3 linked regions of the Mus musculus genome follow. The protein of the gene in region 1 purifies or fractionates together with the protein of each later gene. This does not show direct contact. Links are inferred from orthologs where the notes say so. Each region holds a gene or a part of one and is shown on either strand. Other genes may lie near its edges.

What was found.
Region 2: the proteins of Ep300 (region 1) and Hdac2 purify together in Homo sapiens (affinity purification with mass spectrometry; 4 studies listed by BioGRID, with this or other methods). This does not show direct contact. The link is inferred for Mus musculus from reciprocal best matches to the Homo sapiens genes EP300 and HDAC2.
Region 3: the proteins of Ep300 (region 1) and Mta2 purify together in Homo sapiens (affinity purification with mass spectrometry, with the first as the bait; 3 studies listed by BioGRID). This does not show direct contact. The link is inferred for Mus musculus from reciprocal best matches to the Homo sapiens genes EP300 and MTA2.

Annotation. Positions count from the first base shown.
Region 1 is NC_000081.6:81,627,602-81,631,251, forward strand, and holds part of Ep300 (histone acetyltransferase p300), read left to right. Parts: intron 1-691; coding exon 692-871; intron 872-991; coding exon 992-1,136; intron 1,137-2,399; coding exon 2,400-2,518; intron 2,519-3,650. UniProt on the Homo sapiens protein: Functions as a histone acetyltransferase and regulates transcription via chromatin remodeling. Acetylates all four core histones in nucleosomes. Histone acetylation gives an epigenetic tag for transcriptional activation.
Region 2 is NC_000076.6:36,998,449-37,002,198, reverse strand, and holds the end of Hdac2 (histone deacetylase 2), read right to left. Parts: coding exon 3,630-3,750; intron 1,831-3,629; coding exon 1,773-1,830; intron 671-1,772; coding exon 640-670; 3' UTR 311-639; downstream 1-310. UniProt on the Homo sapiens protein: Histone deacetylase that catalyzes the deacetylation of lysine residues on the N-terminal part of the core histones (H2A, H2B, H3 and H4).
Region 3 is NC_000085.6:8,948,276-8,951,925, forward strand, and holds part of Mta2 (metastasis-associated protein MTA2), read left to right. Parts: coding exon 1-121; intron 122-675; coding exon 676-904; intron 905-2,024; coding exon 2,025-2,114; intron 2,115-2,636; coding exon 2,637-2,755; intron 2,756-2,860; coding exon 2,861-3,009; intron 3,010-3,214; coding exon 3,215-3,380; 3' UTR 3,381-3,650. UniProt on the Homo sapiens protein: May function as a transcriptional coregulator. Acts as a component of the histone deacetylase NuRD complex which participates in the remodeling of chromatin.

The sequences.
Region 1 (3,650 bases):
ATCATGGTTTTGTTTAGTTTTGCTTCCCATTTTGCTTTATTCTATGTTCTAGGGTAAAAAAGTATGTCATCACAATATACTTTACATACATAAAAACATTTTGAAACAGATTAAGTTGCAGTACTGAGAAATTAAACTAAAACATTATGGGACTAATTACACGTAAACACACAAGTCAGAGGACAACCTGTAGCAGTCGGTTCTCCTCTCTACCAGGGATCAAATTCTCTAAGGAAGTCCTCTTTGGAACTAACACCAAAAACTTGGTAGCTGTTCAAGTAAAACAAACCAGCCAGCATTGGGAGTCCAGTACCACCACCTCCACCTCCTCCTCCTCTTCCTCTTCCTCCTCCTCCTCCTCCTCCTCCTCCTTTTTCTTCTTTTTTTTTTTTTTTTTGGCTTTTCAAGACAGGGTTTCTCTGTGTAGCCCTGGCTGTCCTGGAGCTCACTCTGTAGACCAGGCTGGCCTCAAACTCAGAAATCCTCCTACCTCTGCCTCCCGAGTGCTGGGATTAAAGGCGTGCGACACCACACCTGGCTCCGTACCTCCCATTCTTAAGATGAGCTGAGTAAGAGACATCAGTGGGTCCAGTGACACTGCTCCCAACACAAATGGTCACTGCTGTGTAACTTAAAGTTAAACTCTAAGCAACTGACAAGCTTTTGTGTGCTTTTCTTTTTGTCTCTCCAGCTTTCTCAGCCAGCTGTGAGCATTGAAGGCCAGGTCTCAAACCCTCCATCTACTAGTAGCACCGAAGTGAATTCTCAGACCATTCCTGAGAAGCAGCCTTCACAGGAAGTGAAAATGGAGTCTAAAATGGAGGTGGATAAGCCAGAACCAGCAGATGCTCAACCTGAGGATACAAAGGAGGTGAGGTTCTTATGAAAGGAGACTGGAGGAGTGAGAGAGTAAATAAGCAAGGTGATAGTAATGGATTTACTCCCAGGGATCTGTCTGTAAAGTACTGAAAGTTCCTGTCTTGCCTTTCAGGCTAAAGGTGAGGATGTTAAAGTAGAACCTACAGAAATGGAGGAGAGAGGCCCTGAGTTAAAAACTGATGGGAAAGAGGAGGAAGAACAGCCAAGCACCTCTGCTACCCAGTCCTCCCCAGCTCCTGGACAGTCAAAGAAGAAGAGTAAGTAAAGGCTCAGGAGGTCACCCATTTGGTAAAATGCTTGTCCCACAAACACTCCAGGTCTGAATTTGTTTCCCACCAATTGTGTGCATGCTTCAGGTGTGTGAACATCTTTCTTTAATCCCAGTGCTTGGGAGCCAGAGGCAGAAAAATCTGAATTCAAGGCTAGCCTTGTTTACTACTTAGCAAATTCCAGATAAAGCTGAGGTTGACAGTGAGACCCTGTCTTATAGCTGAGCATTGGTGGTACCCTTGTAATTTGACAACTGGTGAAGTAGAGACAGGAGGATCCCTGGAACTTGCTGGTTGGTGAGTCTAGGCCCTAACACTACTAAGACTCCAATTTGGCAGGTGTTGGGGATAGAGGATGGAGAGAGGTAAGAGGGCTTAACTGCTTTTACAGAGGATGCAGACTGGACTCGAAGCAGCTCCCTGGAACTCCAATTCCAGGGACCAAACACCCACTTTTGTCGTCAGGCTTTAGTACATAAATTCACACAAACCTAGAAATACATAAAATGAAGTATTAAATGTGGAAAACAAGATTATTTACCTGAATGGAAACACTCATCTAATGTTGACCCTTCGTCTACAAACAGAGAGACACAGACATACATTACGCAAATGGCAGCCATGCTGGAAAGACTCCTGCAAATTGTTGTTTAAACGCTCCAAATGCATTTGTGCACAGGTACACAAATGCTCACAGATAAATTAAATTAAAAAATTTTAATTATCAATCTCTTATTTCTTGAACTCTTCATAGCTTGCATTCCATAACAGAACCTTAATGTCTCTATATCCCACAAACTTACCTCAAACATCTTCCTGCATTATTGTGCCTGGTGTTAGAAGTGCTGCCATGTGCAGCTACCCCAGTTCAAAGAGGACATTGCCAGCTCCGCTTGACAGAACCCACCCCTCTTTCCACACACAGCTTTTGGACTGTTTCTTTGCGAAGTCTCTTCTGTGTTTTTAGGAGCCTTTGATTTCTGTTTCTATTTGGCCAAGTTCATTCTCAATAAACCTGCAGCAGGAAAAGTAACTCATCTATGAGGGATGGAATAGCTCTGTTGTTTTACAGGAAGTAGTTAAATCAGAGTGGGAATTAAAAATAGCAAGTGAGCCCTTAGTCAGGGTTCTCTGAGGACCATGTCACCTCAGTGTCTCGGATACTTGAGATGCTTTTAGAACTTTGAACATGCATGTCTTTAACATCCCTTTGCTCAGTCAGTAATTAATTTCAATGGACTCTCCCTAAAGTTTTCAAACCAGAGGAATTACGACAGGCTCTGATGCCAACATTGGAGGCACTTTACCGGCAGGACCCAGAATCTCTTCCCTTTCGTCAGCCTGTGGACCCGCAGCTTCTAGGAATCCCTGTAAGTATTTGGTATTTTTCTATTTTCTTTTAGATAGAGAAACAACTTTATTAACATGATTGCTGTTACAGAAGTTAACCTATGTACAGTGTACAAGTTTTAGCATTTTCATTGTTATATAGCTATCACCATGGTTTTAATTCATTTTCATAACCTCCCCCAATAAACCCCACGTCCATTAAAATTGCTAGTTGCAGCACTCTTACTTTCCCAGCCTTAGGACTGCCTAACTCCTGGATTCTTCTAGTTTGAATCACACTCAGTGTGGAATGAAAGCTTAGCAAGTGCTTTGCACTGACCCCTGGTCACCAGTACAGCCTTTGAGGTTCTTCCATGTTATGTGACTGTGTCACCCAGTGCTTCCTTTAAATCATTTAGTATTCAGTTATGTTGATATTACTGCATTTTGTGTATGTATTTAATTGGGAAGTTATTTGCAGTTTTGGGCTATTGAGACTATGGCTGCTGTGAAGGTCGGTGTACAAGTACTGCTTTGCCTATTATTGGTTAAGATTTTGAGAGATTCTCTCTTTATATCTCATGTTATCCTTGAACTTGTAGGTCCTGCCTTGGCCTTCATGTACTGATACTTCAGGAGTGTGTACATTTTTATGTGTTACAGATTGATTTTTCTCTCTGGTATGTTAGAGGTCAATAATTCACTATCATCTCAACAGCTATAGATCACAGCAGAAAGATGAGTCCCTTGGTTCTGAAGATTTATGTGTATGATCTCTCTCTCTCTCTCTCTCTCTCTCTCTCTCTCTCTCTCTCTCTCTCTGTGTGTGTGTGTGTGTGTGTGTGTGTGTGTGTGTTGGTGTGTTGGTGTGTATTTTGGGTGCCAGGTTCCTCTGCCGAAAGAGAGTGGTAAGTCCCCATAGAAGTGGAGTTGAAGATGGTTGTGATCTATCATGTAGGTGCATAAAGCTGAACCTGTAGCCTCTATAAGAGCAGCAAATGCTTTTTAACTGCTGAGCCAGGGTCTCTTCCTCTATTTCAACCCTCAAGTTTGGGGTTTTATTTTTGTTTTGTTTTTTTTTTTGATATGAGGGTTGGGTTAGGGTGTGTATGTGTCCCTGGTTAGCCTGAGATTGACTCTGTAGACCAGACTATCTTCAAACTCATGGTCATC
Region 2 (3,750 bases), on another chromosome or scaffold:
GTTGGACAGGTTTCTTTTTTCAATTCACAATTTCCAATTTCTGAGTATTTGATTCAGTTCAAAAATAATTGCTTCATCCCAAGTGCACAGATTATGAATTTGGAAATAATTTATGAAATACCAGTCTTCCTGACACAAAGTGACACTGTTATTTTTCCTGAAGTAAGAAATAGCTGTTAGAGCCAGTAAGCACTGTGTAGATCTAGTGATGGTCTCTGACACTGACATTCCTTTTGGTATGTTCCAGTCTTAAGACCATCAAGTCATTGACTTGGAAACAAGCTTTCATAATAAACAGACAGAAAACGATCCAAGTACAATTTTTTAATAAAGATAATTACAAAAGATGGAAAAATCAGCTCAGAAAGGCCAATTGTTTCTTTAATAGATCCGGCTTTTGACATAATAACACATCAATTTAAATACAATCACATAAAGCATGGTGGAAAAAAAAATTTGCTTCATAATTAGAAAAACTCACAATAAAACTTGCCAAGAAAAACAAAAACAAGCCATTTTGAAAATAAATACAGTCCATGCCAAAACAGTATAAAATGAAGCCAATGTCCTCAAACAGGGAAGGTTTCTTATCCCAGAATCGTCTCACTTTTCGAGGTTCCTAAAGTTGGAGAGTCAAATTCAAGGGTTGCTGAGTTGTTCTGACTTGGCTCTGTTGAAAGAGGATCATGAAATATTAAAAGTAATAGTCTTGGTTTAGGAGCACTGACCTGGCTACTTGCACAGTCTTATAGATTCACACCAAGCTATTCACTGTTGTTGTTGTTGTTGTTTTTTCTTTTTTTTCTGAGCAATAAAAGCCTTAATCTTTCCAGTTGTTTTACAACTGAGCATTCTAAGTTATCCTTCAAAATTAGCAAACAACTGGGTGACCAAGCACACGTGCTTGCTTCTAACACAGACTCTCATTCTTCAGCCCAGAGTGACGATTTAAAAATCACTATGTAGCTTAGTGTGGATTTAAATTCATGGCAATCCTCTGGGCTCAGCCTCTCCAGTGGACTGAGATTATAGACTCAAGCCTCTTCACAGGTGTGGATAGCCCTGGGGCTTACTTATTATATTTGATGCTACTTCCTTCTCCAGTGAGGGCCTACAAACAAGCAATGAGTCAGCACTCAGGTTTACTTCCCATAAACCTGCTTCCCACCTAATTTGTAAAATAAAGGAGAGCTGATGATTGGGCAGATAAAGGGAAGGTGGAGAAGAAGGTGGGGAGAGAGAGGAGAAAATAGGGGAGGGTGAGGATGCAGAGGAGGGGGAAGAAGAAAAGTGGAGCAGAAGCACGTGGCCTGGAGAAACTGCAAGTTCTAAGGGCTCTCACAGTTGTTGACGATGGTAGTGTAGCGGTAGATCTGCCCATTCTAGGCACACAGCATGTATTCATATTAATTGAGTTGTGTTTCATTGCCAGGGCATATTTGGGTTGGAGATTTACCGCAACACTTCACCTACCTAGCCATACATGCATTCTGATAACAAAATTCTCCAATAGGCTTTCACTTAGCCCAATGTTTTTTCCTTAAACTAGCCTGTCTCCTAACATCAAAGTATTCTAAGCACAGTAATATGAGCATCATGAAAAACACGATTGCATACATAAAAGTTACCGGTCAAATAGCCTAAGCACGTTACCCACACGCAGACCTGCACTCATTGTATGTTCTCAGGCTGTGCCAGTATTTCTCAAGTATGCATGCCCCCGCCCAACCCCCAAGACATGCATGACGTCTACAGACACAAGCATCGCTCACCCTTTGGGGTCTGTTTTCTCACCACTATTGTCCTTGGATTTGTCTTCTTCCTTAACATCTAAAGACAGAAGAAAAATATTGATGTCTATTTTGAAATATAAGACACACAATATATATATGTATGTATATAGTGTATATATAATAAATGTTAAAAACAAAAAAATAATTTAGCTTCTTGCCTTTAGGATCACTTCCTTCTTACAGTGCAGACACAGTTCTCTAGAATGTGGGTCCCAAAGAATGAACAAACTCTCAGGTAAGAGGAAAGGGTATCTTCCAGGGAAAACTGTAAAAGGACTGAGGCACGGAAGCAGTGGTAAGACAGAAGGAGCTCAAGAGAACTGTGTCTGCACTGTAAGAAGGACGTGATCCTAAAGGCAAGAGGCTAGATTATGTTTTTTGTTTTTAACATTTATTTATTCAGAGTGTGTGTGTATGTTTGGGCATCCACACCATGACTTCCATAGGGAGGTCAAAAGACAGCTTGTAGAAGTCAGGAGTCTTCCTCCAACATGCAGATCATATGTAATCAGGCTTGGCAGCAAGCACCTTTACCTTGCTGGCCCACAATATCCCATTGTTCTAACCTTAAATTTTTAATTACTACTAAACTGAACTTCATAACTTAAATACAGTAATTAAAGTAAATGTCCCAGATTAGCCAGAGTATTTTCTCTGTGTAAATTAGTTATGAAGCAATGGCCTCATGGAGAGGTGCAGGGACAGCAGCACGCTTGGGCAATGCAGACACTGCAGGGCACTGCTGTCACCTCCCATACAAATCTACATGCCGACAATGGAGATTTCACATTTTAGTGTCTTGGATAATTCTGGCTAAATTTTTACTCAGTGCCAAGAGGGGGTGGTGGTGGGTCTTATTTGAGGTTATGACCCATAGATTATTGTGGTATTTTGTCTAAAATACCAAGAGTCAATTTACTTTATCACTTTCCTATTTGGAAAAAAAAAAGAAAATGCAGAAGATATTTTAAAATAGAAAGAAACTGAGTTGGAGGTGGTGGCACATTTCTGTAATCCCAGCACCCAGGCATCTGAGAAAGGACAATGGTGTGAATCCAAGGCCACCCAGTAAGTAGCCGGAGCAGCCATGTCTATATAGTGAGGCCTAGTAAAGCCAGGCAGCCTCACTTGACTAGTAGGTCAACTAAAACTTGCAGCATTATCATGTTTAAAGAGGCTACTGCCCACTCCTTACCCCTGCACAGTTCAGCATAGCAATGAGAAACCTGAGAGTGCTAACGAGGTGCTGTAATGGCATGCTAAATAAACACTCTGAATGAAATACCGGAAGACACCAGAAACTGCCCCTTCCTATCTTTCCTCAGTTTTAGTTTCTTCAGTTCCTAAAGAGTCTTCACTCTTAAAGTAACTTTTCAAAGGACTATGTAGCTTAACTTTTGCTACATGAAGTCAGCTTTAACCAGTATAAATTATTTAGAATTTTAGCCAGGTGTACTGGCATGCCTTCAATCCCAGTATATAAGAGGACAAGGCAGAAGAGCACTGAGTCTAAGTCCACCTAAGCTACAGTAAATGTTCTGAGGCCCAACATCTGTAACTACTGTCATCCCCTTAACCCCATCCCATGACATGTAACGTTTACTACTATGTTATTAAAAGGAAGGTTTCTATACCACAAAGAAAATTTGAGCACAACTGTAAAACCTTTAAGTCAGCTCTGAAGCACTAAACAGTAAGCATGAGCGGTAACTAACTATCTCTTACACCAGGAAAAGTTACCTGCCTAAAGTGAGACGTGTGACTGCAGGATCGCTAAGAGACACAGTGCAACCCTTAAGTAGGGAAAGTGAAATGGTCACCAAAACATAAACCGACCTGTCTTCTTGTCCTCTGTCTCCTTCTTGTCTTCTTCAATCCTAGCCTTCTTTGCTCCTTTCTTATGATCAGCAACATTCCTACGACCTCCTTCACCTTCATCCTCAGAATCTGAAAACTC
Region 3 (3,650 bases), on another chromosome or scaffold:
GTATGCCTGGGGACCCCCTAACATGCAGTGCCGACTTTGTGCTTCCTGTTGGATTTATTGGAAGAAATACGGGGGACTGAAGACCCCTACCCAACTTGAAGGGGCTGCTCGGGGCACCACAGTAAGAATCAGTGGGTGGGAACTTGGCATGGTGACTGAGGCAGGTGGGTGAGTTAGAGGCCAGTCTGGTATACAAAGCAAGCTCCAGGTTAGCTGGGGCTACATACTTAGATATTGTCTCAACAAATAGAAAAGAATCACTGATGCCAGGCGTGGTGGCGCACGCCTTTAATCCCAGCACTCGGGAGGCAGAGGCAGGCGAATTTCTGAGTTTGAGGCCAGCCTGGTCTACAAAGTGAGTTCCAGGACAGCCAGGGCTACACAGAGAAACCCTGTCTCGAAAAAACAAACAAACAAAAAAGAATAACTGCAAGAACACGTGGGGATGGGGAGAGTAGTGGTCCTATGAGTGCTTTAGGCAAAGGCCAGAAAACCTTTGACCTCTTCTTCCATGGAGACACTCAAATGCGTAGGAGCACCTGCTAAGTATTGGGAAGCCAGGATGGTTGGGCGGGGTTTCACTGAAGAGGTCAGGTAGAAACAGTTGGCTGTCTGCAGGAGACAGAGGACAGAATTGCACTGTTGATTTCTCTTTTTCATATGTCATTCCTCTAGGAGCCACACTCAAGAGGTCATTTATCCAGACCTGAAGCCCAAAGTCTCTCCCCCTATACAACCAGTGCTAACCGGGCCAAGTTGCTGGCTAAGAACAGGCAAACTTTCTTGCTCCAGACCACAAAGCTAACTCGTCTAGCCAGACGAATGTGCCGAGATCTATTACAGCCAAGGAGGGCTGCCCGAAGACCCTATGCACCTATCAATGCCAATGCCATCAAGGCAGAGTGTAAGGACTGGAGTACTAGCAATGAGTCCAAAGTTGCTCTGGCCAGAGCCCAGTGACTGTAGGGATACTAGGCCACAGCGGGTGTTTAGAGATCTTGGCCACAGAAGAGAACAGTGAAGTTCCTTCAGAAACTTTGATTTGCCATGTCTGGTGGTGCATGCCTAGAATGTAAGCCCTCAGGCTGAGACAGGATATAGCTACCTAGGTCCTATTAGACTGGGCTATGTAATGAGCTCTGGGCTAGCCTGGATTACTTACTAGGACCCAGTCTCAAAAACCAAGGCTAGGCATGCGTATAACCCAAGCATTGGAGGGGTGGAGTCAGGACAATAATAGTTCTAGGCCAGCTGGTACTTCACAGTAGGACCATTTCAAAACACCAAAACAAAACTGCAGAGTACCCAGGGGCTCCCCTCTCACTGCAGAGTACCCAGGGGCTCCCCTCTCACTGCAGAGTACCCAGGGGCTCCCCTCTCACTGCAGAGTGCCTAGAGGCTTCCCCTTACTGCAGAGTACCCAGGGGCTCCCCTCTCACTGCAGAGTACCCAGGGGCTCCCCTCTCACTGCAGAGTACCCAGGGGCTCCCCTCTCACTGCAGAGTACCCAGGGGCTCCCCTCTCACTGCAGAGTACCCAGGGGCTCTCCTCTCACTGCAGAGTACTCAGGGGCTCCCCTCTCACTGCAGAGTACCCAGGGGCTCCCCTCTCACTGCAGAGTACCCAGGGGTTCCCCTCTCACTGCAGAGGACCCAGGGGTTCCCCTCTCACTGCAGAGGACCCAGGGGTTCCCCTCTCACTGCAGAGTACCCAGGGGTTCCCCTCTCACTGCAGAGTACCCAGGGGCTCCCCTCTCACTGCAGAGTACCCAGGGGCTCCCCTCTCACTGCAGAGTACTCAGGGGCTCCCCTCTCACTGCAGAGGACCCAGGGGTTCCCCTCTCACTGCAGAGTACCCAGGGGTTCCCCTCTCACTGCAGAGTACCCAGGGGTTCCCCTCTCACTGCAGAGTACCCAGGGGTTCCCTTCTCACTGCAGAGTACCCAGGGGCTCCCCTCTCACTGCAGAGTACCCAGGGGTTCCCCTCTCACTGCAGAGTACCCAGAGCCTTCCTCTCTTCTCCAGGCTCGATCCGACTTCCTAAGGCTGCCAAGACGCCACTGAAAATTCACCCTCTGGTGCGGCTGCCCTTGGCAACTATCGTCAAAGATCTGGGTATGAGATGGGGAACTACACCCAATCCAGGGTGGGTGGAAGGTGGAGAGACAGTTGGGGTGGTGCCAGCCTCTCTAAGAGTCTTTTCTTCAGTCAGGCTGACAGCTAAATTTTACTATCTTAAGTCTTCTTCCCCAGAGTTTTTCTTTGACACTGAGTCCACACAACTTAGAGCTTTTGTGTGTGCTTATTATTATGATGATCCTTCTTGTTATTGTTTTTTGTGGTGGTGCTGTAGATCAAAACCCAGAACCTCATATGTTCTGGTTTAGTGGTTTACCGTTGAGCTCCATCTCTGGCACAGAAGTGGCTTTATATACGTATTTTCTGATCTGAAAGCATAATGTGTTTTTAAATAAGGTTAAGTAGCTTGATAGGCCATTTTCTCCATTATTAATCTTTAGGCCATTAGAGTAAACAACTGGTCAGGGTAGAGAGGGAGGAAAGAATGGTAATGAAACTACATAGGCAAGGAAAGTGGGAACATTTTCTATTTCATCCCCCTTCTCCCTCTACTGACAGTGGCTCAGGCACCTCTGAAACCAAAAACACCTCGGGGTACCAAGACACCAATCAACAGAAACCAGCTGACCCAGAATCGAGGCCTGGGGGGCATTATGGTGAAACGTTCCTATGAGACTGTGAGTTGACAGAGTGGGTTGGGAAAGCTGAACAGGGTGGGCTTTTGTTTCTAATAGGAGTCTAAGGAAGGTAGTTCCTTCATTATGTACCCCATCCTTTTCCAGATGGCAGGGGCAGGGGTCCCCTTCTCTGCCAATGGAAGGCCTCTGGCTTCAGGGATTCGTTCAAGCTCACAGCCAGCAGCCAAGCGTCAGAAACTAAACCCTGCTGATGCTCCCAATCCAGTGGTATTTGTGGCCACAAAGGACACCAGGTAGGGAGGGAGTCCACCATGAGGGGCTGAGAGGCTGGCAATCCAAGTTGTCCAGCATTGGAAGTAGGCGTATCTGAGAAAGATAGGTGCACAAGAGAATGTGGGTACCAGAGGGTAGAACTGTAGAGGGCGTTGTGGAGCTGAACCTGGTTGAGTCTTGATGCTCATCAAGCTTTCCTGTTTCTGTCTTGCTCTTTTTGGCCAGGGCTTTAAGGAAAGCTCTAACTCACCTGGAAATGCGCCGAGCGGCCCGAAGGCCCAACCTACCCCTGAAGGTGAAACCAACGCTGATGACAGTGCGGCCCCCAGTTCCTCTGCCCGCTTCTTCACATCCTGCCAGCACCAATGAGCCCATTGTCCTGGAGGATTGAGCATCTTAGGGGAAGGGAGGTGGGATGAGAGGTAGAGGGGTGGGTGCCCAGGACATACAAATCTTCATTCCTTTTGGTATCAAAGGGAGTAAGGAGTGAGGGAGGGTTGACCCTGGTGTGTGTGTGTCCTTGCAGGGGTTGGACACCCTCTGGTGTTAGTTACTGCCTGTAACTGCCAGTAACGTCCCTTTTTGGGCTTCACAGCCTATAGGAACTTGCCTGTGTGTGTACCTACCCTATTTGGGGCCTGGGACCCACAGGTGGTTTGGA